2 linked regions of the Saccharomyces cerevisiae S288C genome follow. Changing the gene in region 1 together with any one later gene gives a genetic interaction. Each region holds a gene or a part of one and is shown in the gene's direction. Other genes may lie near its edges.

The links.
Region 2: of RSB1 (region 1) and ORM1, extra expression of one rescues a mutant of the other (dosage rescue), as found in Saccharomyces cerevisiae (one study listed by BioGRID).

Annotation. Positions count from the first base shown.
Region 1 is NC_001147.6:422,034-425,659, reverse strand, and holds RSB1 (phospholipid-translocating ATPase RSB1), read left to right. Parts: upstream 1-1,927; coding exon 1,928-2,992; downstream 2,993-3,626. Other genes in the region: ETT1 (Ett1p), read left to right, coding at 1-814. UniProt on the Saccharomyces cerevisiae protein: Catalyzes the ATP-dependent translocation of sphingoid long-chain bases (LCBs) from the cytoplasmic site toward the extracytoplasmic side of the membrane (flip-flop). Involved in the establishment of the functional lipid asymmetry of the plasma membrane.
Region 2 is NC_001139.9:558,602-561,933, forward strand, and holds ORM1 (sphingolipid homeostasis protein ORM1), read left to right. Parts: upstream 1-2,080; coding exon 2,081-2,749; downstream 2,750-3,332. Other genes in the region: CAX4 (dolichyldiphosphatase), read right to left, coding at 1-267; long-chain fatty acid transporter ACB1, read right to left, coding at 1,130-1,393. UniProt on the Saccharomyces cerevisiae protein: Component of the SPOTS complex that acts as a negative regulator of sphingolipid synthesis. Acts by inhibiting serine palmitoyltransferases (LCB1 and LCB2) activity.

The DNA of each region.
Region 1 (3,626 bases):
AAGAGTCGAATTAGGTCTTTCGCATTTCCCTGAATCCCAATTTCTAAAACTAGTTTTAGCAAAGATAATTTTCCAAAGGATTCCGTTGGAATATATTTCCAATCTCCATTTGAAATCGAAGGATAAAAAACTTGATCTTGTAGGACAGCTTGAACATGGTAAGAAGCATTTTTCAATTTATGAAAACGATACTGAATTTACTTTTGAAATCCTACAAATGGTGAATGACTTATTGGACATCGTCGAGAATTTTGGTCGCGAACAATCTATTCAAGAGGGCATAGATAGCGATAATGAAGAGGAAGAGGAACTCATTGATATTGAGTTGGAACCAGAACACCCTGTATATCCCCTACAACAATCGCTAGAAGCGAATTACGAGTGGCTAAGAAACCATTTTGATAAATTGCTTGACAACACAAATACAGATGTGAAAATCTATGCATCAATAGCTAACACCCTAGGGGAACTATACCTAAAAAAAGCTGAAGAACCAAGTAAAGTTTTCTTAAGCCTACAGTACGATGATGGCGGTTCTGAAAAGGTTAGCGACAAGGAAGCCAAGAACGCCCAAGAAACCGCTTTGAAGCACACAAAAAAGGCTTTAGAATACTTGGAAAAGGCTAAACTGGAGGATGATCCGGACACCTGGGTTCAAGTCGCCGAAGCATATATTGACCTAGGTAACCTGCTTGACAATGAAAGTGCTGAACAAGAAGAAGCTTACAAAACCGCCGAAGAAATCTTAGGCAAAGCAAACAAGGCTTCTCATGGTAAATTTCAAGATGTCCTGGACAATTTCTTACAAGGCTGAGCGCATCCACGCTTCTTTTTTATTTTTACTCACTCCTTCTGTTGCCTTAAGTACTCTCAAAAATTACTATTTTTATCTAGTTTTATAGAAAAGCTAAAAGAAAGGCTATATTTATTAGAGCGCGTGTTGAAATATAGTCACAACTTATTTAATGAGTTAAACTTTTGGTTTCCTTTTAGGTTTTTTGGTGCTCAGCCTCGTCATCACCCAATAAAGAGTTTATTATCAATGGCTTCAGTGAAACAAACCAACAAAACTCTCCGAGAGGGCAATCCAGAGCATAGCACAATCTTTTACATCCGCGGAAGCATTCTTGCTCCGTCATATTTCCTTCCGGACTTCGCTCGGACTCTTTTTCCGCGGAAAGATATGGTCTCCGTCGGTCCTCTGTTTCCTATTATATTTGCGCACAGTGACAGTGCGGCAATTGATATGTCAGGGACCACTGGAAAACGACGTTGCCTAGTAGTTGTGGCAGCTCCGATAGTTGACATTCTCATTAGTAACCGAACTTCTTGCACCAAGTCCTGTGCGAGTGCTGCACGGCCATGCCTTGAGGGTTCTGTCGCCCCCTAGCTGTACGTAAGCATCCCCCGTAATTTTTCCGCAAATGTCGAAAAGCTCTTGACTTTTTCTCGCTATCTCGCTCTCTAAAAGGGAATAGGTGTGATTCTGATCGGTTGTACCCACGGAGCTCTAATTTGCCCTGTTTATTTTTCTTTGGTGTGCCTCCCATTTTCACCTAAAACAGTTGAGCTGATGGGCAAAACACTATATAAGGTTTATTATTTGCAGTCGACCCCAGAATCAATAGAAATAAGAAGAGTTTTCCTTGTCGCTTGCACAGTAAAGTATTTTTTTTTTTTCTTTCAGTAGTAGACTTAAAATTCATTACTTTTCTACGTAAACTCTGGTTTCCTAGCAGTTCAAGCAATAGTATACTAAGGGCGTAACTAATTACTGCTGGTTGTTCTAAAATAGATTTCTCACAGTACTTTTTTTCTGATTATAGACGTTGAGAAATTCAAAATGTCCAACGCAACAAATAATACGTTAGGCAGTCTTTTGCCACAGTTAGAAGCAGCAGCTAACAGTAATTCCCTTTATGGTGGTATGGTACCGAACCTTCGTTTTAATATCACGATGATTGTCATTTGGGGTATACTACTGACAATACATGTCGTACAGTTACTGATGCGCCAATACTGGTTTTCAATCGCTTTTATATGCACAGGTATTTTGGAAGTTCTTGGATTTATAGGGAGGACGTGGTCGCATTCTAATGTCGCCGATATGGACGCTTTTCTTTTGAACATGATTTGTTTGACTATTGCACCAGTTTTCACAATGGGTGGTATTTATTATCAACTTGCAAAGCTTATAGAAGTATACGGCCACAGGTTCTCTTTATTGCCCTCTCCAATGGCGTATTCTTTTATTTTCATATGTTCCGATATCGTATCGCTTGTGGTGCAAGCTGTAGGCGGTGGCCTGTGTGGTGTGGCGGTCACAGATGGAACGTCCACAACAACCGGCAATCATGTTTTCATTGCTGGTTTGGCCATTCAAGTTGCATCGATGGCCATCTTTCTTATGTTATGGTTTCACTTCCTTTTCCGTATATATATATCGGTAAGATGGGAACACATAAATTCTAGACCTATCTCATTGAGCCTCTTAAAGATATCGCAAACAGAAGTTGATTATTTATACAGGGAAAAGTTCCATTTTTTGAGACTCGAACCTAAACGTTGGGTTTTTCATTATTTTAATCTGGCAATAACCGTTGCGGTACTAACCATTTTTACCCGTTGTTGTTACCGTTTGGCTGAATTAGTTGTCGGTTGGGATGGCTATCTGATCACACACGAGTGGTATTTTATTATCTTAGATGCATTAATGATGGCCATCGCTACGGTCACTTTGACCATCTTCCACCCTGGATTTGCGTTTAAAGGTAGAAGCACCTCGATTCCAATCACACCGGGCCATGTTGATCCTGAAACTTTACCACATACTGACGATGTTGAAGATATCTTAGATACTTCGGATTCAAAACAATTTGATATTGAAAAGGAGGAATTCCAAGCAAGCATGAAATACCCGATTAGCACCTTCAAACAATTCATGTCCAAAATAGCTAACTTGTTTTCCTCTAAAAAGAAGGCTAAACTTTAGTGATACGTAGAATTTGAATGTCAATCTGATCGTTCATATGCATTTTTCAATTCTTACTTTTTTTCTCGAAGTTCCCGACTATGTTCTGTTTATTTTTTCTCCTATTCAAAAGAACCGGACAGCATTTTTACTTCCTTATATTTCGACATCGTAATATGTACATTTTTTAGTTCACAAGTATTTTTCCCCTTTCAATGCTTTAATCAGCCTTCAACGTCATACATACTTTCTATTTTGTTCCTGTGCCATCGTATAACTTTCCTCGTTTAGTGTTTTCGCCTCAGCTTAATGTAGATCACTGTTTTGACGTTCTTCCATTTTTGGGAACGAACTAAACTAAAAAAAAGAAAACTACAGAGTTTCCCATAGAGAACAGAAAATCCGCTATCGGCAGCTTATAGGGTCATATAATTATGGCGCACATAAGGAAAATAAATTTATTTGAATCAATCAACAGACCTATCTGTTGATATATGAAAGAGAGCAGGAGCGTTAGTTTACCTCCATAAACAGTAAAATTAAAGCAAAAAAGCGTAACTGCTGATTGAAGCCTATATCACCGGGCTAAAATCTTATATCGGTTAAGAAAGTGATTAATTTATAGATATGTTCACGAAATCTTTTCTATTCAAAG
Region 2 (3,332 bases), on another chromosome or scaffold:
GAACGATACGGGGCGTGGCTGTTTTATTATATTCTTGATCACGTTATTGAATATTTCGTTCATCAATTGGCCAAAGGCTACAATGCAGGCTTCTAACTCTCTTGTGATGATAAACCACGACAAATAAAAAGCTAGCACTAGGATGGGCATCAGCGAGAAATATGCACTAAGGAATGATAGAAAGTCATGCGAATCATAGAGAATGTATGTGTCATCGAATGGTATAACATTTGGATTTGGATTTATTGCAGCGGCGGTACTATTCATGATATGATCCGATTCAAAACAAATTTTGATGTAGATAAAATGCCTGGTATAATGAGTGGTAGAGAAGAAAATTAGACGAAAAGAATGAGAACGAAGAAATGATTTAAAGTGATCACAGTGGCAATCACTTTCCCCTTTTTAACGCGTGTTGAGCAATCGATTGATGTCTCTACCATATGTAGCATTTTCTCAGAAGGCAAACTTTTCTTTTTCTTTCTACTTTTCCAACAAGAAATTTTAAGTTTTCCCAGAAACCCGAATTCTCCTATTTCATCCACCACGTAAGAACGGTTTTCTTCCTGGCGTAATTAAAAGCATAAAGAAAAACTGAACAAGCTCTAGATGTAGATCAGGGTATACATGGTGCGCTTCAGTAAGTGTACTGTACCACTAGTTTGGCGTCTGTCACTTGAATTGCGGATTTGTGTAGAGCAATGAAAGCGCTGCTTCTGCCGCCATCAAAAAAAACTGAGTAGTTATTAAAGCCTATGTATGACAATATAAAAATGTATACAGATCAGTCTGTATATAAATCATGAAAATATCTTTAAAAATTTCAAGAGCGTGTTTCCGCTAAACCTTGTCATATTCAACACAAATCAGTATCATTCTCGGCGTAAATTACATGCGAATCTCCCTAATTGTGATTCAATATTCCAGCGAACCCCGAGAATTTAAATAGAACAGAGTATATGCATTTATTAACAGTTATTACGCCTTGTCCCCAGGGAGAGTAGTAAGGGATATGGGCATTTATAAATGTACATAAGTCACGTTTTTGCAGCCAATAAAATATAATAATAGAATAGTAACAAGGAAAGCTAGGCCAAAACTCCTTACATGGAGCTAGTATACCCCTTTTCTAAGAGGAGTACTTGGCAATCAGTTGATCAACAAGGGCAATGTATTCCTTTTCGGCATCTTCCTGGGATTTACCTTTTAAGTTTTCCCAGGCTTCCCACTTGTAGCGGTCCTTCATGTTGAAAATACCAGGCTTTTCCTTGTCGTTGTCACCTACAGTGGCTTGCTTGTACAGAGCATACAATTCTAATAATTCATCAGTGGAGGGCTTCGTTGGTAGCTCGTTGACGGCTTTAGCTTTTTCTTCGAATAATTGGGAAACCATTTTGCTGAAAACACTAGTTTAACTAATTTTAGAGTTTTAGTCTTCCTTCTTTTGCTTCACACAGTGAAATGATGTACATAACGTACTTGCTTCCGAGACAGACCAATTGATCCAAGCTAGCTATATATATGGCGGTCATTGGGGAGTTGGCCTGGAGCTGTTGAGTTTGCGGACGTGTCAGAGAGCGCGTAGGGCCGCCAGCGCCACCTGTCTTCAGGCACCAAGGCCGTAATCTCTTCCGACGGTCATTTTTTAATGGAATGTTTCAATACGAGAGTTTGTGGCATGTAGTTTAGGAACGGATTATAGAGAATAGTCGAAATATGTTTAGTCCCTACACAAATTGCTAGACTACCTGTTTCGAGTTTCCTCTATTCCTTTGCTAACGGAGCTGCGGTATATAAACCATCGTAGACTCAAAGCCGTTACCCGACAACTATCGGGTATAGTGAAATGCCTATGTTTTCACTTTAAGACCTTAGAAAACTATCATGAGATCTCGCCTTCAGATGCAGATATTTCAGTGGATTCACGAAACAAGAAAAATTCACTGATCGATAACATCTTCCTTTGCTTGATATTCCCTTTTTGAATTTCCCTAACTACCTTTTGTTGTTTACCACATATTCTCTAAAAAGCAGAGTTATTCTTATTTTGTATTTCATTGCATTTTTATCCATTTAGTTAATGACCGAATTAGATTATCAAGGAACTGCTGAGGCGGCTTCTACCTCGTATAGTCGAAATCAAACGGACCTTAAGCCGTTTCCTTCTGCAGGCAGTGCATCTTCATCAATTAAAACGACGGAACCTGTGAAAGATCATAGAAGAAGGCGTTCTTCCAGCATAATTTCACATGTGGAACCGGAGACTTTTGAAGATGAAAATGACCAGCAACTTCTACCAAATATGAATGCTACTTGGGTAGACCAACGCGGCGCTTGGATTATTCATGTGGTCATTATCATACTGCTGAAACTATTTTATAATTTATTTCCTGGTGTTACCACAGAATGGTCGTGGACTCTGACTAATATGACATATGTTATTGGGTCCTATGTCATGTTCCATCTGATTAAGGGTACCCCTTTCGATTTCAATGGTGGTGCTTATGACAACTTGACGATGTGGGAACAAATTGACGACGAGACTTTATATACTCCTTCAAGAAAATTTTTGATTAGTGTCCCGATCGCCCTATTCTTAGTTAGTACTCATTATGCTCACTATGATTTGAAATTGTTTTCATGGAATTGTTTTTTGACAACCTTTGGTGCTGTTGTCCCAAAGTTACCTGTTACTCATAGATTAAGGATTTCTATCCCAGGTATCACAGGTCGCGCCCAAATTAGTTGAACATAGTTTATTTCAATCTTGTATCTAGATGTTTTTGCTATATTTATATTTTCTGGGCCAAATCACTAACGCTTTGAAATTTCAAAAGCCAACAACGGATTTCGGACTTCATTTATGTAAATGAAAAAGAATGTGAACAAAAATTGAAAAAATTCCATATTAATGCACCTTCTAAACCTATTTGTTGAAATTGTATTTAATTCATATAATCATATTCTATTCAAAAAGAATAACAGATAGTATTAGCACTATTTCACGTACTGCTTCTAATACTATTATCACAAAATAGACATCGGAAAACTCAAAAATAACGACAACTGCAGGACTCGAACCTGCGCGGGCAAAGCCCAAAAGATTTCTAATCTTTCGCCTTAACCACTCGGCCAAGTTGCCAATGTATACATTGCTGTTTCCTGGTTTGAAGAAGCTAATCGTGCACGTAAACAACAATCTATACTACAAGTAAAAAAATGGGGAAAAAGATGCTGAAGGTGAGATATATGTGGGTAATTAGATAATTGTTGGGATTCCATTGTTGATAAAGGCTATAATATTAGGTATACAGAATATACTAGAAGTTCTC